7 linked regions of the Mus musculus genome follow. The protein of the gene in region 1 interacts with the protein of each later gene in a biochemical or structural test. Links are inferred from orthologs where the notes say so. Each region holds a gene or a part of one and is shown in the gene's direction. Other genes may lie near its edges.

Region 1 (4,109 bases):
CCCAAGCCAGGAAAAGAAAAATCAAACAAGACAAACTAAAGGGAAATGCAGTGAATAAGGAAAGAATAAATGAACATGAAATGGAATTAATATGCTCCTATGTAAACTTTTTCCCCTTTGGTCAGTCTTGGTAGATAGTCCAAGGTGAGTTTAAATCTAGGCCCTCCGACCTCAGCCTTCCCATGTGCTGGAATTATAATCACTAATCACTCTCACCAGCTAAAACGGTCCTTTTAACTTTCTGAAATTGTATATACCTTATTAGTGAAAAGCAAACAAACAAAAAACCCTTACACACATAAATAAAACATCACACACCAAAAGCTTTCTTCACAACTCAACCAACTTCTATACAGTTAGAAGAGGCATTCCAAATGGAAACTATCAAGTTTCACATTAAAGTATTACACTTTCATTATCAAATATATTTTACCTACCACCAAAACCAAAAGAAAAAAACATGAGAAATTGAAAAACTCTATATCCTTTTGTAAATGATGTTAATCTACCTGCAGTCAGTTCTTCCCCATCCTCATAATCAATAGGAAAAACAAAAAAACAAAAAAACTTTAGTAGAACAAAATGCTGCAGCCCAGGGACATATGAAAGACGCTCCACCTGCAACAGCTAACATTTTCAGGATGGGGCTCAGGCTCGGGTTCATCTTCAGCCTAAAATTAAGATGAAAATACTAGTAATATCTACCTTTAGAAAAATGTAGAGAACCAGACATAAAAGGAAAATAATTACGTGATACATATGGACTTGGTATCTTCTTTGGAGAAGCGTTCACGTTAAGAGGTATTTTTTTAGTCTTTAGAGAGAAAAGTTCAGAGCGACGCACACAGAAAAGTGATATGAAATGGGGGGGGGGGTAGGGGTGTTAAAATATGGTGGCCTCTTTATTACTCGATATTTTGCAGCGTATTTCTTACGTTAGGGAAAACGCTCCGTAGTGTTTAAAATACTCTCCAGCTTCAAGGCAGGCCGCCGCGCACAGCTCGATTTGCCTGTGACTTCCACTTCCGTGGCGCGGAAACTTCCTAAGGATGGAAACTGCAGCCTAAACTCCCACAAACTTGGGCGGTGACGACAGCCTACGCGAACCCCGTGATGCCCCTCGCCTCCCAGGCTCCTACCCCGCAGCCCCGCCTTTGCATACGCGGTGGGGCGGGCCTTGCTCAAACCACGGGTACGATTGGTCCTTGAGGAGAGGTGGGTGGATCAGCGCTGTGGCGTCATGACCTCGCGCAGGGAAAAGGCGCGCGCCTAGGAAGCCGCGGCATTAGACGGTTGCGGGCGCAGAGGGTTGGTAGTTGTCGCTGTAGGCCTTCGCTGCCGCTTCTGCATCGTGAATCGGGGGACCTTGGCAGCCAGACCTCGTTCCTCTTAGAGTAGCTCTCATCTAGTCGCCACAACTCCGCCACCATGTTTGAGGCACGCCTGATCCAGGGCTCCATCCTGAAGAAGGTGCTGGAGGCTCTCAAAGACCTCATCAATGAGGCCTGCTGGGACGTCAGCTCGGGCGGCGTGAACCTGCAGAGCATGGACTCGTCTCACGTCTCCTTGGTACAGCTTACTCTGCGCTCCGAAGGCTTCGACACATACCGCTGCGACCGCAACCTAGCCATGGGCGTGAACCTCACCAGGTGAGCGGGTGGCGGGAGCGGGGCCCCACTCTTCCCGCTTCCGCTCTTGGCGGGGCTGTGACTCTGCACGCTCATTGGCTGGCTTGGCCATCCGCGCTTTCTGATTGGTCTATGGTGTCGGGGGCAGCCCTCACCAAAGCGCGCGGTTCCGAAAAGCCCGCGCTGGCAGTGGCGCCCACTCTGTTTCCGCGCCAAAGCCACAAAGCGGGAGTCCGCGGGAAAATGAGTGCTCCGGAGCTGTGCTCATTAAATGCCTGCAGCTTTGAGTGGCTGGTCTTAGCGCCTAATAAACGAGTCTTAGTGCAAATGTAATGTCGACTTAGAGTGACAATAGACCTTTTCTTGACTTCCAGAGTCTCACTGCGCATCATGGATTTGAGGGGAAATCTGTCAGTTTTAGCTTTTAACTTTGCTACAGCTACCTAGGTTAGTGCCTCCTGTATACGTGTTCAAGGACAGTGTGTGACTTATTTTAGTACAGATACATGGATTAGTGCCACTTGTATACATTTTGAAAGATTTACGAAAAGGCCAGACGTGATGGGGCACATTCTCCAGTACACTAGAAACCAAGGACACCCCGCTCAAAAAGATGCTTTCTCGAATGTTGGCTTTTAGTGCATTTTACTAAGTCGGTTTTAAGAATCACATATACCCGGTAATTTGCTTCACCCCTGAGAGAGTTTGGGGTACCCTTAGCCCCTTTAACAGTTCTCCAACCGTGAGTGTGAAATGGTACAACTTGTAATTGCTTTTTAAAATATAGATGTGGATTACATGTTGATAAAGCCTGTCTTTTTTTTTTTCCCCCCTAGCATGTCCAAAATTCTAAAATGTGCTGGTAATGAAGACATCATTACATTAAGGGCTGAAGATAATGCAGACACCTTAGCACTAGTATTCGAAGCACCAAGTAAGTTAAACACCTTTAAAACTCGGTAGTTACGTGTTGTTTCTGTTTCTCAAAACCAAAAAAAAATATTAACAATATTGTAAAATTTCCATCATAGATAGGACCGTGTGGTGTGCTTTGGTAACATTTTCCTTCTTTTGGTAGATCAAGAGAAAGTTTCAGACTATGAAATGAAGTTAATGGACTTAGATGTGGAGCAACTTGGAATCCCAGTGAGTTACCTTGTTTCTGATTGTGTGTTACCCTGCTGTGATACCAGCTGATGCGTGTTCTGAGTGGAGTGGTGGTATTGGGGATGAATGGCACACTGCCATTTCACTAAACCACAGCAGTCTAAAGTTGATTGAGTTTTAAAGAAACCAGAAGTCTTGCATTCTGAGTTCTGGTTAAGATGCTAAATCTTGAGAACATGAAGCTGAGCCTTCCCCCTTTTCTAGACTGACCTTTAACTTGTGGGTTTACAGGAACAGGAGTACAGCTGTGTAATAAAGATGCCGTCGGGTGAATTTGCACGTATATGCCGAGACCTTAGCCACATTGGAGATGCTGTTGTGATATCCTGTGCAAAGAATGGGGTGAAGTTTTCTGCAAGTGGAGAGCTTGGCAATGGGAACATTAAGTTGTCACAAACAAGTAATGTGGATAAAGAAGAGGAGGCGGTGAGTAGTAAGGGGGCGTCCAGTTAGGTGTCTGAAGCAGGGATGGAGCCTCGGCTTTTGTTTTTATTTATTCATTCATTTTGAGATGGAGTCTTGAGTAGACCAAGCTATCTTAGAGCTCAGAGACGACTCCATAAGCTTTTACAGGTAGCATTTGGAAAGCTAAGTGTACAGCCTTTTGCTTCCTGGAAATACTCTTGGCAAATAAGTGAGGGTTGGCAAGTGAGCAAAAGAAAATGGTTGGGGGTGTATGTAGCTTTATGTGTTGCAGGTTCAAGAGTATTTGCAGTCCCAAGGGAAATAAGAAAGACTTCACAAAATGTGGAAAGAGTTGTATTAAATGCTCTTGACAGTTACATCCATAGAGAAAGCTGGGCATGATGTCTCAAACCCACAACTGTAGTACTCAAAGCTACAGCAGGAAGATTCTCAGCTTAAAGTCAACCTGGCAGAAAATCTAGCTCAAAAAGAATGAGGAAGAAATTGGGAAGGCAAAGGAAGATGTTCTCCGAGTCCTCCTCATTCAAGTAGAACATACTAGGCCTCTTTAATTTCTAAGTATCCCTGAATCGAGGCTTTTTCTCAGGAATCCAATGTATATTTCATGGCTACACTTTTTTTTTTCTTTTTTAAGTTTTGCTAGCTAGCCTGAGCATCAGAATTACACACAGAAGTCTGAACTAAATAGGATTTTTAGGGTTTAGTATAGTGAAATTCAGAGTGCTTACTGCAAGTATTTAAGGTAAATATAAGGTGTTACTTGGCCTCTGCATGAATTTAAAGTAAATGAAAGTGTAAGAATTCGAACATAGATAAACACACAACCCAAGAACTAGTTCTTAACCTTAATCTGCTGAATTATTTCTACTTCCATATCAACTTCAGCTC
Region 2 (3,583 bases), on another chromosome or scaffold:
GATTGAAATTACACTGGAATTAGAATCTTCTGCTTCATCCTGCTGAGTGCTGAGGTTATCAGCATGTGCTGCCATCCTTAGCTTAGTTTTCCTTTATTTTTTTATCTTTTTCTTTTTTTTTTAAGTTGTGAAAAAATTTAAATATACATGAAAGTAGGGAAGGTAATATAGTGAACCAGCCTTCTTACTTACCGTGTACCTAACTTTTCCTATGAAAATGAAATCTTTTCCTCTTTTTATAATCTTTGTAGTCTTTGTTCCTGGCTCTTGTTCTTGGTCTTACCTTTGCATTGACTCAGGACGTCTTCTGCAGTTTTAGGAGAGAGATGGTGGTGGTTGGCATCTGTGCTTTGTTCAGTCTTGGGGGGAGGTAGCTCATTTGTTATCACTGATGGTTGATAAGAGTTGTGAGCTTTTATTGTTGTTGCTTTGTTTTTAAGTAGCATTTTATCAGATTGGTGAGTTCTAGGCCTGCCAGGGCTTTATATGAGACCCTGTACAGGGGGAAAAAAAAATACAAAAAGAAAGGAAAGGAAGGAAGGAAAGAGGCAGCACATTGACAAACCCAGAGCAGCAGGAAAGAAAAACTATACTTTTTGAAAGTAAATGCGTTTTGTTCTGACACGCAGTTACCTGACCGGCTCTTTGCTTTTGTTCTGTTAAGGGTTGGTGCAGTGTATTACTAGATTCTGTGTTAGTTTTCCTCACTTTTTCTGACCTCTGTCCCCACAGGTTACCTACCTCTAGTGAGGCTTTATGACTCATGTGCATACACGAGCTTTAGGTGTACAGATGGAAACACATATGCACACGTGCACATTTGTGTGAACACACTCTGTGCACAGAGCGGTCCCCTTTCCTAAGGTGCGACCTCTGACATCTCACCTCAGGCAGGCCACATGGTCTCCGTGAAGGTATCCATTTTGGCTGGGCTAAGCTGAGCATCTTTCTAGCACTGCCTCTGGCATCTGTTTACCAATGTCTGTTTCCTGCCAGGCTTGTGGCGTTTGGTCCTTGCATACCCTGGAGACGATTGCAGATGGGTGAGGGTTTCCTTCTCCTGGCTCCCTCCTACATGCCTAGCACACCGTCCCTCTCGTTCTCATCATCTCTGCCCAGAATTGTGCTCTCTTCTCCCTGGTCAGGGAGGTAACTTCTGCTTCGATGTCAGTTCAACGTACAAATCCGAGAAGGTGCTCCCAGGTGAAGGTCTTGGGTCAGGGTTGCATCACTTCATTTGTCTCTCTTCTCCCAGGGATCATACTTTTGGGTTGCTTGTGTCGTAGTGCTAACTGTTGCTTTATGTCTTTCTCCAGCTTTTACTTAGCCATTGTAGAGTAAGTGTCATATCAGCACCTAGAACCCAGTATACTCTTTAAGTTCTAGTCACTGCCTTTTAATAATGATTTCCTGCATTTTAAAAGAAACGTTTTAGTTTGATTGTGATTGTGACATAAGTTCTGTGTTTCAGAGGAACCAAGTATTAATTAGGGAGACTCAGTGTATTATGCATAACTTGGCATCTTATTTACCCATTTGTTTGTTTTGTGTGTTTCAAGGACTCACCTGTTGCAGTTTGCTTTAGAGTCACCACCCATATCTCCTGTGTCTTCCACCTCAAAGAAGGTTGTTGTTAAAGTGCATAATGCTGACGCCGCCCAACACCCTGTCAAACAGGCGAACAGGTTAATGGATAAGTTCCTGATTAGAGAAACTGGTGACTGTGTATTTGAGTTGTTGGGAAAAGAAAATGAGAGGAAATTCAGCCCTCAAAAAGAGCTAAGCACCTCTGCTGAGATTAAAGAGACAAGTCTCCTAGGAAAGCCGGTACTGGGGCTCTCGGATGCTAATGGTCCTGTGACTCCCTCTACATCCACTATGAAACTGGATACTAAAGGTAGGCAGCACTTTTATATGTGCACTTTTATACTTAAGGAAGTCTCACTTGTGTGGTGTGAGATTAATAGGCAGCACTTTTGAGGGGGAGAAAGACTGGACTGGGTTTCACCTCACCATGTCTCAGGCATTGATGCAGTCCGTGGTTAGGGCTTATTTTATTGGTATAGGACATGTACTTCAGTGAGCCTGACTTATTTCCTGGCTCTCCCAGAATGTCTCTGTAGCCAGTTTGTTATCTCACTCTTCCTACAGTATACTCAGGCTGACAGAATAGCTGAAAACTGACCGGATGTGCTACCTGGTCAGTAAATACCGATTGCCTGGAACCTGCCCTCCTCCTCTGTTTATATACTAGCTCTGGTGTTTCCATGCTGCAGTGGTGCAGAGTGGCCTAATGGTGACAGAGCCAGGATTATGGTATGAAGGGTCATCTGGAAAACTCACAGCCAGTCTTTAGGACCTTATCTTTTACTAAGAATGTGTGTTGTTTAGCAAACCCATACAACCCACAGTTGAAGGCCAGTAGTGTTTACTAGAAAATTGAAATTAGCTTATTAGTACTTGTATTTTTAAGGTTTTTTCTATTTTAGTTTTTGATTATGCGTATCAACATCTCAGCCTGGAGATCACTCCGTCTGTGGTTTTTGTTGTTATATTTTTATTTCATATGGACATGTTTTCAGCTCTTGTAGAATTTTTTTCTTTTTTATCCAAATGAAATCTTAGAATGGACCATAACATGTAAAATAGATACACTTCTCTGTGCTACTAAAAGAAGGAGTAGGGAGTCTGGGGACTCTGGTGCCACAAGCCTTCCTTCTTTGGAAACTGCATTTTGTGGGCACCTCCACATTCACTGCAACTCCACAAAGCTGCAGCTTTAGTAAGGAGGACCTGGCCCGGGAGCCAGGAGGTCAGTAGTTCAGCCAGATTGTAAGGAGCCAGCGAAGCCTTGGTTTCACTCCCAGGTGGAACTTGTTTACAGAGTTGCTGAGGCTGTGCTTGTCCTGTGTTAGATGTCCTGTGTGAGATGTCCTGTGTGAGATGTCCTGCGGCCTGGGGAGACTCAGCGCTGTGGTTTCCTAGTACCCTGTTTCCAGCTGGCTAACTCCCAAACCTAAGTGCAGCCTCTAGGCCCAGGGTTCTGATCATGGGACTTCCCGCAAAGCAGCTAGTTACTAGTAACCCGTTTGCCTGTTCTCCTGGCTCTTTTAAAGAGCATATCAGCTGGGATTCTGTCTTTAAATTACTGAAAGATGTCAGTGTAATTTTTGCCTGTTCTATGGCTAATAATGTCTCCCCCCTCTCTTTTAAATGCAGTGTCTTGTCCTGTTTGTGGGGTCAGCATTCCAGAAAATCATATCAATAAGCATTTAGACAGTTGTTTATCACGTGAAGAGAAGAAGGAGAGCCTGCGAAGGTGAGCACAGCCTCTGACCTGCCTTTGCACGATGCTTCTCTGCCTGATAGATGTCAATCAAAACCAGGACTCCCGTTGTCCTGGTGACTAGAACTTCTGTTTCCTTCCGTGTTTGATTTTCCCTTTAGTGCTGGTTACCTCTCCATCCTCTTGTTTTCCTTCTTCAGCTCACACTCTGCCATATTTCAGGAGCAGATTAGCGCTTGCTCTCTGATACATTATGATTTAGAGAAACTAGTGACTTAGAATTCACTTATCTTTTAA
Region 3 (4,280 bases), on another chromosome or scaffold:
GGGATTAAAGGCCACCACGTCCGGCCTGTTTTTTTTTTTTTTGTTTGTTTGTTTGTTTATTGCAAGGGGGAGAGTATGGAGAGATGGCTCAGAGGTTAAAAGTACTGGTTACTCTTTCAGAGGACTTGGGTTCGAGTCCCAGTTCCTGCATGGCAGCTCACAACCATCTGTAACTTCCTCCAGTCAGGAGATATGAAAACGTCTTCTGGACTCAGCAAACACCAAACACACATGATATATAAATATTTATACAGGCAAAACATGCCTGCAATTCACACATTGTAATTTGGTCTGGGAGATTTTCTGTTTTTTAAGTCTGAGATAGGCTAGCCTGCCTGGTTTAGACCCTCTGCAGCAAAGGAGAATTTGCTGGGGTGGTTACCCACGGGATCAGTTACAAGGCAAAGTGGAAGGACCCCACTCCCTGGACTAGGTTAGGGAACAGCCATGTGTCCTGTCTCTCTCTGCCACGAGAGGGTCTCAACAAGGGAGGGCAGGGTTAGAAAAAGAGCAGCAACAGAGGAAGCACAAAGCAGATACCTAGAGCCAGTTCATACCTGCTCAATCAGGAATGATTCATAGACAAGTAGGCCACAGCTCACCAGCCAGTTTGCTGCCAGACATGCAGTTTACCCACACTTTAGGACACAGGCAAGTGGATCTCTGTGAGTTTGAAGCCGACTTCATCTTCATGGCCAGCCAGGGCTTTATAGTGAGACCCTGCATCACGCTCATATAATTATTAAAAAAAAAAAAAGACCAATAATGTTAAAGATTGTAGTGCTACATTAAATAACAAGATCTAACAGTAGCAAGTTTAACAATACCTATAACTTTAATTGTCGATAACCTAAAATATTTTGGGATCTCCCCAGGAAAATATCTGTTGCCGGAGATGGTGTCACACGCCCTTAATCCCAAGCACTCAGGAGGCAAAGGCACATGGATCCCTGTGAGTTCAAGGCCAGCCTGATCTACAGAACAAGTTTCAGGGCAGCCAGGGCAACACTGAGACACCCTGTCCTGTGTTAGCGCGGAGATGGGGGATGAGAACACACGACATCTGTTGTAACTACTACCAACTGTCACGGGTTCTGCTCATTCTCTTGGAATTTATAGTTATGCATTTAAGTTTACTAAGAATGAAAAATCAGGCTTTAGTTGGTTTTCTGTGTCAGCAATGTGGAGGCTGCAAAGCAGAATACTACACTTAGGGTCAGCAGGGTTCGCTCTAGACATACCTAGAAAAAAATGCAAGTGGGTGAGGTGGAATTATTTGGGCGAACAAAAAGCCTTTCTGGGACAAACCGACAAAAGGGGTGGCGCCTGTCAGATTCCCCGGGTCCCCGCCCTGGCCCCTTCCCAGAGGCAGAGACCAGCGTGCACAGGCGCAGTCGCGCTGGGACCCAACCTCCCAAGGACACGTGCTGAAGCCCCGCCCTATGAGCTGAGGCCCCGCCCTCCGCGCGCGAGCTTGGGGGGGCGGTCCCGCCGCTAGGCATCAGTAATCTATCCTGAGCGGAGGCGGCTCTGCACGCTTGCGGGGGAAACCGACACGTTAGCGGAGCGCACCAGCGGCGGCGTCGGGCTGCCGCTGCAGCACGAGAAGGAGGATGGCGGAGGCCTCGGAGAGGCTTTATCGAGTGGAGTACGCGAAGAGCGGGCGCGCCTCTTGCAAGAAATGCAGCGAGAGTATTCCCAAGGACTCCCTCCGCATGGCCATCATGGTGCAGGTGCGACGGGGCCGGGCCGGAGGCGCAGGGCGACGCGGCCTGGGCGGCTGTGTGGGCTCGGGGCCGCCTCACTCCGCCCTGCGGCTCAGCCGGACCGGGAGAGAAGGGCGGGAAAGACCCGCGGCGCTGCCGCGGAGGTCCTTGAGGCCCATTGGGCCGACCCCTTCCGGGACATTGCGCTTACCCTGCAAGAAAAGCCCGGGAAGTAAGAGCATCTGGCGTAAGTGCCTCTGGCTTTGTAAAGACAAGGGGCCTGCCTCTTCGCTGGGTCTGGATGGTCGCAGAGTTTTTGTTTATTTCACTGCCTTCTCGGCGTCGGGGTGGAGGGTGTGCGCGCGGTCTTTAAAGCTGCTCTGATTTGGGCCTATCTTGTCCCGGAAGATTATTGTCCTCCATGAATACAGAAGATTTTTTTTTCCCCTTAAGCCTATTTTTGATGATCCTTTCAACATCCGCTCACTCTCGGTATTTCTATTTTAGTTATGCAAAGCAGTGCCATTTCTTTACAGTGCATTCGCTTTGGGCCTGATTTCTACTTGGAAATAACATTTTCTCCAAACTTCCCGAGGTCTCGGCGCTTTCTGCAGCTATCTGGTCTCTTCACTGACGCTTCCGAGATGGTCAGGAGGTGGTGGGATGACGGGTCCTGGCGTTCCAGTGGCTCCTGCCTCCTAGGCTTCTGGTTTTGCAGATTCCTTCCCGTCTTTGCTAGTGTGGTTCTCACCTGCCCTGTTCCCACCTCCCCCAAACACTCAGTTACCCAAGCTCACGCTGCTAATGGTCGAGGCAATTGATTTCCCTTGCTGTCCAGCTGCAGTAATGTGTTTTAGAAGAGGCAGGCTAGCCCTCAATGGGGCTTCAGTTCTTAAGGGGGGGAGGGAAGGGGGAAAAGACATTCACCCAGTGGGTACCAAGATACCACACTGCTTCTATTATTTCTCCTTATGGGAAGAACTGAAGCTGTCATCTTGGTGCCCTCGGAGAGACTGCCTAGCTCAGCATTCTTGCTTGACACAGTTCTCATACATTCTATACATATTTATTAAGAAGCAGCTAGGCACGGTGTTAGTGTCTATAATTATCATTGGTGACAAAAATGTCGGGAACTGCTAGGGACGTCTTTGTTGCTTGCATTTATGACGGGATGGGGAACCCGTCCTGGGCTCCTCCTGCTAGGTTAAGGGGTATGGGAAGGATTGATAAGCCTTGTATCTGATGGAACTGAGTGCTAGGCAGAATGCCCTGGGGAGGAGAAGCCCAAGATGTCCCAGTCAAGTGTGGGAGCTTGATTAAGAGTTTTTATTCACAGAAGTGGGACAGGAAGATGGAGATAGCTAGAATTTGAAGGACAGTTGAAAGCCCCATTTCCCACTGAGGTCTTTGAACTTTACCCCACAGTTCCCTCCTCCCTGTGAGAAGATAAATAGAGCTCTCTGGGCTTAAGAGAAAGCAAATTTACATCCTTGCCAGTTTGTAGATTAAACCCATTATTCCCTCGGTCTTGAATATAGCAGGAAAGCAAAATAGTCTTCGGCTTATATTTTCATATTATTTTATGATTGGGGATTCCTCAATTGTAACAGCTAGTAGAGGGATATTAGTAAAGTATAAGGTAATGGTATGCCCAGAATTAGGTTGATTGGTTTTGAGACCAGATTTCAGGGCTGATGTCTGTGATGCTCTGGCCTCCATCCTGGAGTGCTGAGAATTACTGGCCTGCCTCTACTGCCACACCCAGCCTTTCAAATGGTTTTGTTTGGTTTTTGGGACCTGGCTTACTGTCATCCTGCTGGCCTTGAACTCAAAGAGATCCACCCGCCTCTTCCTCCCCAGTGATGAGATTAAAGTCGTGTGCTACTACACCTGGCCTTTGAAGTGACCCTTCCATACTTTACAGATTTTATTAGGCATCTGTACTAGCCAGAGAATAGCCGCTCTGTGAAAGATGACCCCCAATACTGCCTAGGAAGAGAGGAAAAAGAGGATTCTGGGTAGGCTGAGGCTGACCTAAATAACTTAACCTTCAAGGCCCTCCTCCTGGTTTTTTGTTTTTTTTTTTTTTTGACTGTGAGAGAAACTATTATTGTGAGTGACAGCGGTGCTCTTCCTTCCTTAGAGGAGCTTGGGAGTTTAGATCTGAGTTTAAAGTTGGGCTTTTACTCCAGAGCTTGGGAGGGCCGTCGTTGTAGAGCTTGAATTTAAATACCTTCTTTTACATTTGTATGAGAGGACTGTTCTCTGAGCATCCGATAAGCTGATATTTCCGAGCCCTGGGTGAGGCTGCCTAACTGGGAGGCAGAGGGATGACCCTGAAGGAACTGAGGATTTGCGCATTCTCTGAGCAGGGCCGTCTTCTTCCTGCAGGCAGGGCTCTCAGCCTGCCTTACCTGGAAGGAAATGGTGAACCTTGTGGTTGTTGGAGGCTGGGTCTAAGTCCTGGATTCTGTACCTGGCCTATTTCACGCCTCCTAGATAGAGACAAACAACTTAGGATGTCGGCCATTCCCACCAGTCCTCCCCAGGCCTTGGCATGGTCAGGGCTTTGTT
Region 4 (3,583 bases), on another chromosome or scaffold:
GAGGCCCCGAGGCATCAGTGACATCCTTCAGTGTGGCCTCCGGTCCTGAGGGGTGTTCTCGGACCCCTCCCCTAGGCTCAGCACCACCCCTGCCAGAAGGGCCCCTGCCATCCCGGAACTCAGTGCCCATACTGAGGGCCTTTGGGGTCACCGATGAAGGCTTCTCCGTCTGCTGCCACATACAGGGCTTTGCCCCCTACTTCTACACCCCCGCGCCTCCTGGTGAGTGTTCCCTGACCTGAGGGCCTTGTTCCTGGACTCCAGAATTTCCTTTGCTCTTCTGACTGGCCTCCTACACCAGGTTTTGGGGCCGAGCACCTGAGTGAGCTGCAGCAGGAGCTGAACGCAGCCATCAGCCGGGACCAGCGCGGTGGGAAGGAGCTCTCAGGGCCGGCAGTGCTGGCAATAGAGCTATGCTCCCGTGAGAGTGAGTGTGGCCTGGGGGGGTGGGGGGTGGGGGTAGGGTGCCCTGGTAGGTGTGTGCCAACCTCCTTTCTCCGCAGGCATGTTTGGGTACCACGGTCATGGCCCTTCTCCATTTCTCCGCATCACCCTGGCACTACCCCGCCTTATGGCACCAGCCCGCCGCCTTCTGGAACAGGGTGTCCGAGTGCCAGGCCTGGGCACCCCGAGCTTCGCACCCTACGAAGCCAACGTGGACTTTGAGATCCGGTGCTGTCCTGTCTCCCCTTTGCCCTACTCCCGCCTCAGTCCCCTCAGGCGGCCCTTGCCAACTGACACGCCACTCTTCCAGGTTCATGGTGGATGCTGACATTGTGGGATGCAACTGGTTGGAGCTGCCAGCTGGAAAGTACGTTCGGAGGGCGGAGAAGAAGGTAAGAGCACCCCGGGGCGGGGTGGGGAGCCAGGACCTGGTGCCGATGTCGCTCCTACCTTGTGCAACCCGCTACCTTTCCCCAGGCCACCCTGTGTCAGCTGGAGGTGGACGTGCTGTGGTCAGATGTGATCAGTCACCCACCGGAGGGGCAGTGGCAGCGCATTGCACCCCTGCGTGTGCTTAGCTTCGACATCGAGTGTGCTGGCCGAAAAGGTTTGTCCCGGGAGCCTGGGCTCCTTCTCTCTGTCTGGGCATTGGTGATGTGCCAGGCCCCTGTGGAGGGGTGAGTGGGTGGAAGGAGTGCTCCCTACAGAGAGAGCCCTGAGCACAAAGGCACCAGGGCCTGGGGCTGTCCCACCCATGTGGCTGGAACAGGGGCTGGAGCTGAGAGGCTGTGGATGAGCAGGTGTGGGGACCGTGGATGGACCGGGACAGGGGACGAGCAGGAATGAGGTCCCTGTGTCTTCCCCTCTGCAGGCATCTTCCCTGAGCCTGAGCGTGACCCCGTGATCCAGATCTGTTCTCTGGGGCTGCGCTGGGGGGAGCCGGAGCCATTCTTGCGTCTGGCACTCACGCTGCGGCCCTGTGCCCCCATCCTGGGTGCCAAAGTGCAGAGCTATGAGCGGGAAGAAGACCTGCTCCAGGTGGGTCCTCCCTCCTCAGGTGCCACCTGCCCTGTGTCCCCAGCCATGCCAGTGACCCTTCTCTAGGACGACACCGTGTCCTCGGGGTTGGGCTGTGTGTTTTCCTGAGTTCCACGGCGTTTTTGCAAGTGCGGAGGTTGTCTTGGATATTCTGAAGAGAAGGTAGCTGAGGTAAAGACAGCCTGGTTGGCCTTTGTGTCCGTCCCCTCCACAGGCCTGGGCCGACTTCATCCTTGCCATGGACCCTGACGTGATCACCGGCTACAACATTCAGAACTTTGACCTCCCATACCTCATCTCTCGGGCACAGGCCCTAAAGGTGAGGGAAGCTGGATCTTTTCCCATCCCTCGAGGCCATCCTTGCCCCGGGCCAGCCGGCTGCTCTGGAGTCCAGGTGTGCGTTACCTCACTTTAGCTGGAGCCGGAAATTCGTCGCTGTGGACAGGAGGCGGGCGCCTTGAGAGTCCGGCCCTCCACACCATCACCGTCACTGCGTCACTGTCTCTGCCTCCATAGCCAGGCCTCCTTTAGAATTCACTGGCAAGGGGGAAGGGGAAACGGGGGCATGGAAGAGGAAAGGGGTACATGCTTTGGAGCGCGGCAAAGGCTGGGTGCTATGGAAAGGGAAGAGTGAGCCTTTTCACACTTCCACTGTAGCCAGCTGCACACTTACCCGGTGCAGGAGGCTGCAGAGGTGACCCTCTGGGTGTTAGTGAGCCTGAGGGCAGGCAGGCCCTCCCCTCCTGGGCCTGGTTCTAATGGCCTTCCTGGGCTGCATCTGCTTGGGCCTTTCTTCTGTGCCTCAGTCAAGTCTCCCTGCGTCCTTTTTCTAGGGCAAGCTCTGTTACAAGAGGGGTCCTGGGCGATGCACAGAGGGGAATCTGCCCGAACAGGATACACTGTATCACTTTCCTGCTTTCTGCAGCTGTAGCCCATTTGGTGATGAGTAGGCAGAGCCGACTTCACTGCCTGGCTGCAGGGAGACCCTACCATTGTGTCCTGGGCACCTCACCCTCAGCCCCTCTCCTCTAAGACTCCCTCTCTCTGCCAGACTGTACCCCAGCGCCGCCCCTGTTGTCTTCTCTGCCCTCCCCCAATAGTCCATGTCTCTACCTATAGCCCATCAGGCCCCCAGTCTCTCAGTCTCCCCGGGGCTATAGCTCTCAACTCTGTCCCTGATCAATACCTCGTCCCACCCAAGCAGTCTCCGCCTGCAGCTCATCTTCTCCAGACCCAGGAGTGCCATGGCTGGTCTCTGTCCCTGTTCTGAGGGCCTAAGGCTAGATTCAGAGTTGAGCTGACAGGTCTGCACCACAGCAAGGCTCTCCCCATGCTCCTCAGGTGGACCGCTTCCCTTTCCTGGGCCGCGTGACTGGTCTCCGCTCCAACATCCGTGACTCCTCCTTCCAATCAAGGCAGGTCGGCCGGCGGGACAGTAAGGTGATCAGCATGGTGGGTCGCGTTCAGATGGATATGCTGCAGGTATGTAGGAACCCCACTCGCCCTCCCCAGCCCCCAACACGCTGCCTTAAACAGAAGCTCCACCCACCTGAGGCGGCACCCTGACCCACCCACCTAAGTACCACAGACCCTCTAGACCCCATCCCACGACTCTTGAGGTTGCGTGGAGATACCCTTCCCCACACCTCTGAGGCCCCGCCCCACCCCAACCTGCGCAGGTGCTGCTTCGGGAACACAAGCTCCGCTCCTACACGCTCAACGCTGTGAGTTTCCACTTCCTGGGCGAGCAGAAGGAGGACGTTCAGCACAGCATCATCACCGACCTGCAGGTGCCGCCACTCCACCAAGTCCCTCCCCGCCTCCCTCCTGGCTGAGCCCCTGACTGACTGAGCCCCTGACCCCACATGCCCATCCCCAGAATGGGAACGAACAGACGCGCCGCCGCCTGGCCGTGTACTGCCTGAAGGACGCCTTTCTGCCACTCCGACTACTAGAGCGCCTTATGGTGCTGGTGAATAATGTGGAGATGGCGCGTGTCACGGGTGTACCCCTTGGGTACCTGCTCACCCGGGGCCAGCAGGTCAAGGTCGTGTCTCAGCTGCTGCGCCAGGTGAGGGACTGCACCTGGTTGGCCACACAC
Region 5 (4,066 bases), on another chromosome or scaffold:
ACAACAGCAGCAACAACAACAAGAAAAGATTTAGAAACTAGTGATTGGGTTCCAGATCAGCAAGGCTACATAGTGAGATTCTGTCTTAAAATTAAAAACAAAAACAAAAGACAGAGGCAATTATTCTTTTGTTGTTGTTGTTGTTTTTGAGACAGGGTTTCTCTGTATAGCCCAGGCTGTCCTGGAACTCACTCTGCAGACCAGGCTGGCCTCAAACTCAGAAATCCACCTGCCTCTGCCTCCAGAGTGCTGGGATTAAAGGCCGGCTGAAAAACATTTTTTTATACATCGTATCACTGGCTGTCTTGGATCTTGCTATGTAGATCAGGTTGTCCTCGAACTCAGAGATCCACCTGCTTGTAAATCCCAAGTACTAGGATTAAAAGCATGAAGCACCAGACTCAATTTTTTTCATTTAATATTCTTCAAAGTAATTTACACGAAAAGAAGGAATATATGGTTGAAAAGATTTATAATTTTACAATAGAAAAACATTCCTAATTTTAAAATAAAGCAAATTGTTAATTTATTAAAAAGTGGTTCATCATTTCAAAAATGAAATGCCCAGCTGTAACATTTTTAGAAAGAGTTTATATCCGGGCAATGGTGGCACACGCCTTTAATCCCAGCACTTGGGAGACAGAGGTAGGCAGATTTCTGAGTTCAAGGCCAGCCTGGTCTACAGAGTGAGTTCCAGGACAGCCAGGGCTACAAAGAGAAACCCTGTCTCGAAAAAAAATTATAGTTAAAAGAGAAATTAATGCAAGAAATAAAATTAAAGGAAGTAATTCTCTAATTACAATGGCTACTTTCAACCCGTCACTATTATACCTTAATTCCCATTACTCTTCCAATGGGTAATTTCAAGTTGTCACTACTAATCTAAACGTACCCTTCCCACCTCCTGGAACGCATATAGCCAATAAAAGGGGTGTGGGGGGTGTGCAAACGCTGATATTTTAGATTGACATTTCTTAGGATCAATAGAAATGCAGATCTTCCCAGCAGCTCCTGAACCGCCGGAAAGGAGCCTTCATCCGCCTCCCGCGGGATTTTCTAGCACATAAACCGAAGTTCTCGCGAGGACGTACTGAGTGCACCTCTTTTTCCGGAGGCTGAGGTGTCACGTGACGCAAGCTCCTCCAATCGGCGCGCGGGCCGCGGTGGTTGCCGCGGTTCCCGCCAAATACGAGCGCGGCGGCCGCGGCGGCAGCAGAAGTGACACCGGTGGGAGGCGGAGTGTGCAGCCTGGCCGCCCGACTGAAGCCTGAGCCGCCGCCGCCGCCGCCGCCGCCGCCGCCGCCGCCGCCGTCGCGGAGATGTTGGAGGAGCCGGAGGCCGCGACGCGGACAGCCGCGGGTGGGTGAAACTGCCTAAAGGAGCGGATCCAAGCCTAAGTGGCCTCGGGGCGGAGACCAGGAGAAGGGAGGGCTCTTAGGAAACTGAGGCCTCGGGGAGGGGGAAGAGTCAGCTTCGCAAGCTCCCGAAGGCATCTTGTGTCGCCTAAATAGCTGGAGTAAATGGGGAAACCGAGGCCCCGAGTTGGATTTGATGGATCCTGAGTGCTTGTGTCCTCTTGAAATCAATTGGATCTTGTAGCAGCAAGTGGAGAAACTGAGGGCAAGGAGAAGAAAAGTCAGTCGTACAAGTTATTAAGTGCGTTTGTGAATTCCAGAGCAGTTCGGACCTTTGCAATGGGCGGGGAAATTGAGGCCCGTGCTCACTTGAGCTCTGGACACCAGAGTAGCAGCAACTCTGCGGGGCAGGGCTAGTCCAGGAAGGTCGGTTTGGGTGGTTAAAGCATAGCCAGGAACCCTTTCTGGGTCCCGAAAAGGGGCCCTTTGTGAGTGTGGTATGGACCAGTCGGGTACGTGTTAGGAGTCTTTGTAGCATGCGGTAGGCTTCCCGAAATGTGGGGTGCCTATTCCCCGCTAAATTGTATCCCCAGTGTGTGTTGAACGATTGAGGGGCTGGAAAAGACGAGGTCGGTCCTGATAGACTAAGATTTCTCCAATTGAGCACCACTGACTAGACAGCCCTTCTGGGTACATTACACTAGTCTGCAAGCTCGGAGATGAGGGGAATTGGGGATGGCCAATTTCAGGATGGAGAGCCGCATCCTCAATCTCCATCCACTTCTGGGATAACTCTGGCCCCTTTTACAGTTCTGATCATCAAAGATACACACACACACACACACACACACACACACACACACACACACACACACCCTTCACAGCCTGGTATTCCAGGAAGGCTGGAGCTGTTGTTCTGACTGGCTTGAGAATTTTATGTGGGCATTAATAGTCGTACAATTCCTGGACTCTCATGGAGCATTGTTTTTATTTAACCAAGGTGGAACGTTTAAAACCGACACTATTGCTCTGGCAATAAAGACCAGTTTGGTGTAGCAGTTCATACCTGCAGTTCAGCATCCTAGAAGCTGAGGCAGGAGGATGATGAATTTCAGGTTGATCTGGCCTCTGACCACCTGAATTGTATCCTGGGAAGAAGAGAATCAATTCCACAAGCCTGTATCCAATAAATTAATTAAAGTGGAATAAAACTTTTAAAGAAAAAAGTGTCCTTCGGGGGGGGGTGGCTTTTTTTTTTAAAATAGAAAATTGAGGTGATGTTACCTTCCATTCAAATGAGAAGAAGGGAGAGTGTTCTGGGGGTCCGAGTCTCTAAGTTGGTGTGCCTGGGCTGTTTCTACTCTGGATAGCTGAGGTTGTAGGAAAGCTTAAGTCTGAATTGCATGCAACATTAGCAAAATGTATGGGAATTCACCCCAAATTACTGATGGAGTTTCTATGCACCCAAGGCATTTACCTATGGCAGGTTCTCATCTGGGTGTGGTGGCACACACCTTTAATCCCAGCAGCACTCAGAGGCAGATGCAAGTGGATCTCTGAGTTTGAGGCCGGCCTGATCTACATAGCAAGTTCAAGACAATCAAGACTATGTAGAGAGTCTCAAAACAAACAAAAAGACAGGCTCTATTTATGGTCTAATATACATGGGTTTTAATGTGCTTACTTATTCTTGCGACTTTAAATTCATTTTAGTGGGAGATAATCTCTTTCATGAGGTCTTTAATTTGTTTCTTTTTTGTAGTTATTAGTTTTAGACCAGGTCCCCATGTAGCCCAGGCAAGCCTCTAACTCCAAGTGTTAACATGCCCTAGTTTATGCAAGGCTAGGATGGAACTTAGACACTCCTACATGTTAGGTCAGCATGCTACCCATTGAGCCCAACCCCAGGTTCTTTATTGTGTCTTGACATGAGTACAGATTCTGCAACGAAATTTATTCATTTCATCTATTTAAGAGTAGGATACCTTCACTTAAAAAAATTGGTTTTGTTTACTTAAAGATTTATTTCTTGTTATGTGTCTGTGTATGTCTATGCACATGAGCTAGGTGCCCATGGAAGCCAGAGAGGGCACTGGATCCCTTGGTGCTAGACTTTCGGTGGTTGGTTATGAACTGTTGGATCTGGGATCAGAACAGCAAGTGCTTTTAGTTTCTGATCCATTTGTCCAGTCACACTCACTGTGTCTGTGTGAATCAGTTCTTCCCTTCCCCCATGTGGGTCCTGAGGATTGAGCTTTAGAGTCAGGAGGCTTGGAAAGTCCCCCTCCCTACTCACTGAACCATCTTGTCAGCCCTCACTTGACTTTTGGGACATTTTTGGACAGTTGAGCCTTAACTGACCTAGAAGAAGGGCCATAATGCAAGTTTCTGAGTGAGGGACTCAGGAGGGACTGAGTCTAGGGTAGTGTTGCTCAGTGTTGACATTTTGAGCCAAATAATTTTTTGTTGTGGGACTGACTTGTTCATTGTAGATTGTTTATAGGGAGTGCCTGTATAGTAACTGAAAGTGAGTAGCATCCCCAAACCTTCCCCAGCCATGAAGACTGCCTCTGGGGGCTCAGAATGGGGCATAAGGGTCAGGGTACTTGCTGTTAAGTCTGACCACTTGGGCTCTGCCATTAGAACCTACAAGTAGACCAACAGGACTGACTCCTGCAAGTTGATATGTTCTGTGACACTCCATGTGGCAA
Region 6 (4,310 bases), on another chromosome or scaffold:
ATGGGGCTATCCTTGCCTTTCTAAGATCCCAACCTCTATTTAATACAAGCTGCTATTTCCTTACATATTTTTTTCTTGATAATTTTATGATCCCAGGAAAGCATAAGCCATGGTTGTCGTCTTCTTGTTTGTTTTAACTTTGCTATTGTCTGTTTTTTCTATCTGCTCTAGCACAGAATTTGGCACATGGCAATGGGTTCCCTAAATGCTGTAGGGTAGGAGCAAATGAAACCTGATTTTAATTTCTGTAAACTTCAGGCACCTGCCTGTGGATGTTTTAAAGCTAGCTGTTAGCTTTAAAGCCTCAGGAATTCAGACCTAAGGCACCCTGGCTGCCAGGTGGGTGGGTCTGTGAAAGACCTCAGGGGCACAGGGCACTTAAACTGGCCACTTGCAGGATGAGGAAAAGCTGACATCTCAAGCTCCTGTTCTTAGTCATTTAGACCTTAGCCCTTGCTCTATCTCCCCTAAAGATCAGGGGGCAATTTAAAATCCACATCATAAACAAAACATAGTTAGAAAACAAGGACCTGGGCTGGTGAGATGGCTCAACAGGTAAGAGCACCCGACTGCTCTTCTGAAGGTCCTGAGTTCAAATCCCGGCAACCACATGGTGGCTCACAACCATCCGTAACGAGATCTGACTCCCTCTTCTGGTGTGTCTGAAGACAGCTACAGTGTACTTACATATAATAAAAAAATAAATAAATCTTTAAAATAAAAAAAAGAAAGAAAAGAAAAAGAAAACAAGGACCTTAGAAACAACACTGGTAGCCCACCCACTTCATTTTATAATTGAAGAAAATGGGGTCCTAACAACTGAAGAGGTGAATCGATGTTAGAGTTGATCTAAAACCCTGGTGTCTCCTTTCTATGCCATTGGGGCTGCTGTCATCAATAGGACCCCCAAATTGAGCTGCATGGATCCCAGATGACGAATTATACCTGATTATCTGCAAAACCTGGGTTTGGTCTAAAACCTTCCTGGGTTTCAGTTTCCTCGTCAGTCAAATGGGGTGCAGAATTAGCCTCTTGGTACAGCCCTGAGGGACGATGATGAATGTAAAATGAATTATTGGGAAATACCAACAAAACTCTGAGCGGGGAGAGATGATATAAGGAACTCTTGAGGTGGGTGACCAAAGACTTGGGTTCCACTCGGGTCATCTCCCTGGGCCGGTTTCCTCTGCAAAAGCAGGAAGCTGGCATGGCTGTAGGCTGCTGCGACAGGTCCAGCTCTGCCCACCCAGGCTGAGGCCCTCCCTGGGGGAGCGGGCGCATAGAGCCCGCCCTGGGGGGAAGGACGAGGGGTCTCGAGTTACCATCCTGCAGCAGTGCCGTCTTCTCGGCCGACCGCAAAACCTCCAACCAGCTAGTCACCGCCATCTTCCCTCCGCCCAGGAACGCGCCGGGCCACTGCCATGGCAACTACCCGACCGATGATCACTTCCGGATGACCCGGGAAGTATTCTGGGAACTGATTTTTTTTTTTTTTTTTCCCCTCTACCCCTTCCTCCCCCAATCCGTTTTCATTGGCTCCCATGGTGAGTTTATTTCTCTTTGCCGGGAGATTCTAACCTACTTTGGACCGGTCCTGGGGCCGGGTGGGGTGGGGATGCTCCCAGAACTTTTAGGGATCCAGCACCAACTCTCTTCTGGCCCCAGCTGGGAGTCCCTGGTTCACACCAGCTGCTCACAGTGGATGTGGCACGTCTGCTTCGGTCTTGCCCACCTCCAGCTGTGAGGGCTCCCTACATCTGCTGCGGCTGCACTCCACCTCCCTGCAGCTGCGGGGCTCAGACCCGCGCGATGGGGCTGCTGCGACAGGGACAGGTGCGCAGCGTGCCCACAACTTTCCCTGAAGCCTCACTCCCCAGGTTTTCTTCTGCGAATGCACATTGAGGCTAGAGAAAGATGATGCGAGGTTTATGTGACATGTCCCTTAGACTCCAATTCGTTGGGGAGATGAAGACTCTCCTAAAGATGTAGTCCGGTTCCCAAACCCGTCATCATTTTGGAAAAGTCTCTTGGAAGGGGACGCAGAGGCTGACTCTGCGCTATATTCCTCCCCCCACCCCCACCCCATGTTGTTTCCTTTCGATCCACACCTCCCCTACACCCACAAGAATCCCAACCTTTCCCTGGCTTCCCTCAGTACGACTAGGGTTGAAAGGCTGGTATGTGTGTGTGGCACTCGGATTAAATCACTTAAGTTTAACTGGGGTTTCCGAGACCTCTGAGAAAGGGACCTGTTACCCCTAAACCCCACCTCTATGCCAAATTATTAAGGGCTGGCTCTCAATCCTTTAACAGAAAGGCCAGGATCCAGCGCCCTTCAATGGACCCTCAGGGCATCGTGAAGGCCTTTCCCAAGCGGAAGAAAAGTCATGCAGATCTATCTTCAAAAGCACTTGCAAAGATTCCCAAAAGGGAGGTGGGAGAAGCTAGAGGTGAGCCGGTCCACCCTCACACACTGGAACGTTCAGCCTTCTTGTTTTCAGCTAGAGTCAGATTAACAGAAGTGACCTAACCTGTGGCCAAGATCAGGTTGGCCTCAAACTCGAAAAGCAAAACAAAACAACAAAAAAGGAAGTTTGCTGAAAAAAACAAAACAAAACAAAAGCAAAAACAAAAACAAAAAACCCCTGGGGGGTATCGCTAGCAAGCAAGCCTTTAGCCTTTAATCCCAGCACTTGGGAAGCAGAGGCAGGCAGATTTCTGAGTTCGAGGCCAGCCTGGTCTACAGAGTGAGTTCCAGAACAGCCAGGGCTACACAGAGAAACCCTGTCTTGAAACTAACCACCCCCCCCCAAAAAAAGGAAGTTTGTTGTACGTTTGCGGTAGAATTCTTTGAAGGTATTTTGTTCTCTGGATGGCAGGAAAAGGAAGGGAGGTGGCTTCGAACAGTTCATTATAGCTCTGACCTACAACTGTAATCCCAGCTCTTAGAGGTCAAGGCAGGAGAATCAGAAACTCAAGGTTATCCTCTGCTACATAGTCAGTTTGAGGCCAGCCTGGGCTACATGAGACCCTATCTCAAATAATAGTGCAATAAAATTAATAATAATAATAATAGCTATGGTGATACCACTTGAATATCCTCTCCACAGGATGGCTGAGCTCCCTGAGAGCCCACATTATGCCCGCTGGCATTGGACGTGCCCGGGCTGAACTCTTTGAGAAGCAGATTATCCACCATGGCGGCCAGGTGTGCTCTGCCCAGGCCCCAGGAGTCACTCACATTGTGGTGGATGAAGACATGGACTATGAGCGGGCTCTCCGGCTCCTCAGGTTGCCCCAGCTACCCCCTGGTGCCCAGCTGGTGAAGTCCACCTGGCTGAGCTTGTGCCTGCAGGAGGGAAGGCTGACAGACACGGAAGGATTCAGCCTTCCCATGCCCAAGAGGTTGGCAGCTCTTAGCCTTTCTCAGGTGTTTGTTGATGATGTTTGAGTTTCCATCTTGAGTTATTGAAAAAAAAAACACTCGTACTTTTTAAATTGGACATATTTGGAAACCAAGGTTTCTGTATAGAGAAAGATTGGGGTGGGGGTGGGGGACAGAGACAGGTAAGAATTTGATACCCTAACTCTCTGTGACCTCCCCTGCCCTCTAGGTCCTTGGATGAACCACAGCCCAGCAAGTCAGGCCAAGATGCTTCTGCTCCTGGCACCCAGCGGGATTTACCCAGGACCACCCTTTCTCTTTCCCCTCCTCACACCAGAGCTGTATCTCCTCCCCCAACGGCAGAAAAGCCATCAAGAACCCAAGCCCAGGTGAGGAGCCTCCCAGCCCAGGGTGCTGATCACAGAAATGGAAGGACCTGGAGGTTAGACAGAAAATTCTAGGTCTCTCTCAATTATGCACCTGTCCATCTCTTCCCAACATTTTTCAGTTCTGCATTCAACTAGTTATGTCTGCCCCAGGCTGGGGTCTTTTCCTTGAGTCAAAGCAGGAGACGCCTCCCCACCAGACAGCGCTCTCTTCTTCTATTTGCAGCTCAGCTCAGAGGATGAAACCAGCGATGGAGAAGGGCCCCAGGTTAGCTCAGCAGATCTGCAAGCCTTGATCACTGGGCACTACCCCACTCCCCCTGAGGAAGATGGTGGGCCTGACCCAGCACCAGAAGCTCTGGATAAATGGGTCTGTGCACAGCCCTCGAGCCAGAAGGCAACTAACTACAATCTGCACATCACAGAGAAGCTGGAAGTGCTGGCTAAAGCCTACAGTGTCCAGGGAGACAAGTGGAGGGCCCTGGGCTATGCAAAGGCCATCAATGCTCTCAAGAGCTTCCACAAGCCTGTCAGCTCCT
Region 7 (3,500 bases), on another chromosome or scaffold:
CACTTGGAAGGAGGAGGCTCTGGCAAGCTGCAGCTCTTGTGAGTCCTGGGTGACACATCAGTCAGTTGAGAGGAGTCCCGTCTCATCCGTTGGGCTGTTTGGGGTGTAGAAGGGCTTTGAGATGTTGCCACTGCATCACCACATCTGTCTACATCCCTTGTGTCTACAGCTATCAGGAGGTTGCTTACCTGCCGCCCAGGCTTGGCCATAGCCACCTTGCATCCCTTCCAAAATCGGGCAGAGTGAATATTGTCCATACAATGCCGGTGGGGGCTTACTGATCCCTGGTGCTGTTAAATGGCAGTGATTAGGATTTGGGGTCACATGTACGTTGGAATGTCTGAGAAAGGCCAACATCTTGCCTAATTGTACCTTGGCACAGACATCTCAAGAGTTATCAACAGACCCATCATATCCATAGGGTTAGACCTGCCAGCCTGCCTAGAAGGGAAGGGTGGGGGGGAGTTGGGCTGATGGGACAGACTTGGAGGTTTTGTTTTCATTACATTTACTTATTGTGTATGTGTGCTTGTGTGTGTGTGTGTGGGAGGGGGGATTTGTGTGCTGCTATGTACATGTGGGCTTCAGAGGAAAACTTAGAGGAGTCGGTTTCCTCCTGTGAAGGTCCTGAGAAATCAGATTTGGGGAATTAGGCTTGGTGGCAGAGCTTTTACCTGCCACCCATCTTGTGTTCTCGATGGCACCCCCTTTGCCCAGCTTTTCCTGCTTTGTTTGCTGAGCAGGAATCGAAGTTTATTTGCTTATTTTGTAGAATCTGGGATAGAACCCAGAGACTGGGCATCTAGGCAGGCACTCTACCATTGAGCTAACTCCTATCTTCCCTCCTATCCCCACCCAAGACAACCTCTCCTGTAGCCCAGGCTAGCCTCAAACTCCCCCATACATCTGAGAATGGCCTTTAACTTGTTCTCTGTTTCCACCTCCCTAGTGTGCTGGGATTATAGGCCTGTGCTACCGTGCCAGGTTTTACTCAAGCTCTGTCCCCAGCTCCAAAGTGTGCACTTGGGTGATATTTTAGTGTGTCTGCTGTCACACAACTGCCACCTCTTATGTCCAGACCATTTTTTGTCTCCCTACAAAGAACATACTCATTGGTCCTCACTTTGCACTCCACCCCCACAGCTCTAGGCAGCCCTGAAACTCCTCTCTGCGTCTGCAGCCTTGCCCGTTGTGGACATTTCATGCAAATGAAGTCATAGGCTATGTAGCCTTTTGTGTTTGGCCTTTTACTCAGCGTGTACTCAGCGTGTTTGTCAGAGTCAGTCCCTGTTGTTCATAGTGTGTGTCAATGCTTTGTACCTTTTTATGGCTGAACCATAATCATCATTCCCAGTGTGGACAGACCGCATTTTAACTGTTTGTACACCGGGAGGGCTGTCGGGAATGTTTGCTCTCGGGCTAATGTGCATAAGCTACCACGTTTCATGTACAGAGTTTTTGTGTAGACATGTGTTTTTAATCCTGAGTAGATGTCAGAATGTGGAGTTGCTGGGTCACATGATAATTCTATGTTTAACTTTGTAAGGAAACCTAGAAACTCTTCTAAAATTGGTGTGCCATCTATCTCTGGGTAGTATATTAGTTATTTACTTTAAAAAGTAAATCATTAAATCCGTTTTTTAAAAATAGCACAGTTGACCAGCGGCACCAAATTTGCTGCTGTTATCAGCGAGGCTATTTGTTGTGTGCCTCATGACAGGATGCCTGCCTTCTGCCCAGGTGCCATCTGGAGAATCTCTGGGAGCCCGGGACGCCAACCTTTTTAGAAAGGGGGCTTGTTTGGCCAAGATTCTGCAGTGAAGCATGCCAGGCAGTGAGTGGGGAAGAGGTTGGGCTTTGTCCCCTCACTCCACCCACCAGTGCTCACTAGCTCTTGCTTTGGGACAGAGCGTCTTTTCTCGGGTGTGCAGGCCAGTGTCTGGAAGCCTCCAGCTTTGTTAGCACTTCGGCTTTCTCCCACACCCACATACAGAGGGCCAGGCCCTATCTCCAGGTACTTCTGCCTGATTGTCCCTTGTGGACACTGGCACAGTAGGCTCCAGCACCTTCCTGACCCTCACAGAGTGCTCCTACCCTAGCCTATCTGAGTGCTGACCAGTGCGTGGAGTGAATAAATCTATTTTCCACCTGTCCCGCTGCAGAGAAAAGGAACACCGGGAACGTTATACGAAGCGCTGTGAAGTCAGATGAACAGAAGAGCAAAGACACCAGGAGAGGTCCCCTGGCGCCTTTTCCAAACCAAAAATCCGAAGCAGCAGAACCTCCAAAAACTCCACCCCCATCATGTGATTCTACCAATGTAGCAGTCGCTAAGCAAGCCCTGAAAAAGTCCCTCAAGGGCAAACAGGCCCCTCGGAAAAAGTAAGTAGCCTGGAGTGAAGCCCTCTCCTAACACCACTTGGTTCCTGGGGCCTGGCTCAGGTGTGTACTGTGGTTGTGTAGTCTGCTGCTAGGCCTCTTCTCTTCTGAGTTACACGGTCTGGTTTTTCCCTCGTGTGTGTGTGTGTGGTGTGTGTGTGTGTGTGTGTGTGTGTGTGTGTAAGACAGAGAGTCAGAGTCCAGAGGTTAGGCCTCCCTCCCTATCTCTTCCCCCCCATCCCCCAGGAGTGAGCAGCTGTCTGGGACCCGCCCAGGTAGATAAGCAGACATGCACCTAGGTCCCAGTACACAGAAATATTTGAGGAACACGTTTATAGGGAGTTACCTCCTGGGTCGGAGCAGGGCAGCGGGCCTCATGTTTATTTTCTCCCCTCCCCTCTTAACCAGGTCTCAAGGGAAAACCCAGCAGAATAGAAAACTCACAGATTTCTACCCTGTGCGGAGGAGTTCCCGGAAGAGCAAAGCTGAGCTGCAGGTAAGGTCTGATCCGCTGCAGCGGGGAGAGGCAAGCAGCCAGGGTGGGGGTGGGGGTGGGGTGTTTAGCGTGTGTAGGGAAGCCTGGGTGAGATCGTCCTCTGCTTGCTCTACCTTCCTGGTGAGGCAGGAGGCATTCTTAAGACCCTGGTACCTTGTACTTGATGCCGTAGAACAATCAGACTGGCTTTTCCACGGTGTTTTGGCAGCGCGTTTGGAGCCTAGAACTGTGGGGAAAGCTGCCTGTTGTGTCTTCAGCCTGTTTCTAAAGAACAGTAGCTTAGAAGTGCTTACTGATTGCTGGTGGACTGCACTGTTGTGTCTGTAAAATGGCCCTGTAAAGTCCAGGGATGGAGACACCTATAATCCTGGTACTCAGGACGGAGTTGAGAGAATGGACAGAAGTTCTGACAGAGTGGTTAGGTCTGAACACCAAGTTCCAGTCCAGACTGGGCTCCATAGCAAGACCCTGCCTCATAAAGGAAAAGATCCGGTAGTGAGTTGTTATGAAAATAAAGGAAGTAGATTCACACCGATGCGGTGGTGAATCCAGCACTCAGGAGATTGAGGCCAGATCTCCATTTTGAGATCACCCTTGGCTACATAAAAAAACTCTGTCTGAAAGC

The links.
Region 2: of the proteins of Pcna (region 1) and Rad18, one has a biochemical effect on the other in vitro, tested with the Homo sapiens proteins (21 studies listed by BioGRID, with this or other methods). The link is inferred for Mus musculus from reciprocal best matches to the Homo sapiens genes PCNA and RAD18.
Region 3: the proteins of Pcna (region 1) and Parp1 form a complex in vitro, tested with the Homo sapiens proteins (3 studies listed by BioGRID). The link is inferred for Mus musculus from reciprocal best matches to the Homo sapiens genes PCNA and PARP1.
Region 4: the proteins of Pcna (region 1) and Pold1 form a complex in vitro, tested with the Homo sapiens proteins (4 studies listed by BioGRID, with this or other methods). The link is inferred for Mus musculus from reciprocal best matches to the Homo sapiens genes PCNA and POLD1.
Region 5: the proteins of Pcna (region 1) and Chaf1a form a complex in vitro, tested with the Homo sapiens proteins (4 studies listed by BioGRID and IntAct). The link is inferred for Mus musculus from reciprocal best matches to the Homo sapiens genes PCNA and CHAF1A.
Region 6: the proteins of Pcna (region 1) and Poll form a complex in vitro, tested with the Homo sapiens proteins (3 studies listed by BioGRID). The link is inferred for Mus musculus from reciprocal best matches to the Homo sapiens genes PCNA and POLL.
Region 7: the proteins of Pcna (region 1) and Kmt5a form a complex in vitro, tested with the Homo sapiens proteins (4 studies listed by BioGRID, with this or other methods). The link is inferred for Mus musculus from reciprocal best matches to the Homo sapiens genes PCNA and KMT5A.

The regions. Positions count from the first base shown.
Region 1 is NC_000068.7:132,250,356-132,254,464, reverse strand, and holds the start of Pcna (proliferating cell nuclear antigen), read left to right. Parts: upstream 1-1,284; 5' UTR 1,285-1,428; coding exon 1,429-1,649; intron 1,650-2,464; coding exon 2,465-2,562; intron 2,563-2,706; coding exon 2,707-2,774; intron 2,775-3,026; coding exon 3,027-3,221; intron 3,222-4,109. UniProt on the Homo sapiens protein: Auxiliary protein of DNA polymerase delta and epsilon, is involved in the control of eukaryotic DNA replication by increasing the polymerase's processibility during elongation of the leading strand.
Region 2 is NC_000072.6:112,679,653-112,683,235, reverse strand, and holds part of Rad18 (E3 ubiquitin-protein ligase RAD18), read left to right. Parts: intron 1-996; exon of another isoform or gene 997-1,203; intron 1,204-1,559; coding exon 1,560-1,897; intron 1,898-3,219; coding exon 3,220-3,319; intron 3,320-3,583. UniProt on the Homo sapiens protein: E3 ubiquitin-protein ligase involved in postreplication repair of UV-damaged DNA. Postreplication repair functions in gap-filling of a daughter strand on replication of damaged DNA.
Region 3 is NC_000067.6:180,567,421-180,571,700, forward strand, and holds the start of Parp1 (poly [ADP-ribose] polymerase 1), read left to right. Parts: upstream 1-1,470; 5' UTR 1,471-1,613; coding exon 1,614-1,733; intron 1,734-4,280. UniProt on the Homo sapiens protein: Poly-ADP-ribosyltransferase that mediates poly-ADP-ribosylation of proteins and plays a key role in DNA repair.
Region 4 is NC_000073.6:44,538,743-44,542,325, reverse strand, and holds part of Pold1 (DNA polymerase delta catalytic subunit), read left to right. Parts: intron 1-75; coding exon 76-222; intron 223-301; coding exon 302-427; intron 428-503; coding exon 504-672; intron 673-754; coding exon 755-836; intron 837-921; coding exon 922-1,051; intron 1,052-1,315; coding exon 1,316-1,482; intron 1,483-1,696; coding exon 1,697-1,801; intron 1,802-2,823; coding exon 2,824-2,964; intron 2,965-3,161; coding exon 3,162-3,272; intron 3,273-3,361; coding exon 3,362-3,553; intron 3,554-3,583. UniProt on the Homo sapiens protein: As the catalytic component of the trimeric (Pol-delta3 complex) and tetrameric DNA polymerase delta complexes (Pol-delta4 complex), plays a crucial role in high fidelity genome replication, including in lagging strand synthesis, and repair.
Region 5 is NC_000083.6:56,039,193-56,043,258, forward strand, and holds the start of Chaf1a (chromatin assembly factor 1 subunit A), read left to right. Parts: upstream 1-1,223; 5' UTR 1,224-1,319; coding exon 1,320-1,359; intron 1,360-4,066. UniProt on the Homo sapiens protein: Acts as a component of the histone chaperone complex chromatin assembly factor 1 (CAF-1), which assembles histone octamers onto DNA during replication and repair.
Region 6 is NC_000085.6:45,557,720-45,562,029, reverse strand, and holds the start of Poll (DNA polymerase lambda), read left to right. Parts: upstream 1-1,465; 5' UTR 1,466-1,544; intron 1,545-1,665; exon of another isoform or gene 1,666-1,833; intron 1,834-2,313; 5' UTR 2,314-2,338; coding exon 2,339-2,450; intron 2,451-3,110; coding exon 3,111-3,405; intron 3,406-3,614; coding exon 3,615-3,774; intron 3,775-3,997; coding exon 3,998-4,310. Other genes in the region: protein DPCD, read right to left, coding at 1,323-1,386.
Region 7 is NC_000071.6:124,448,499-124,451,998, forward strand, and holds part of Kmt5a (N-lysine methyltransferase KMT5A), read left to right. Parts: intron 1-2,162; coding exon 2,163-2,382; intron 2,383-2,787; coding exon 2,788-2,875; intron 2,876-3,500. UniProt on the Homo sapiens protein: Protein-lysine N-methyltransferase that monomethylates both histones and non-histone proteins. Specifically monomethylates 'Lys-20' of histone H4 (H4K20me1).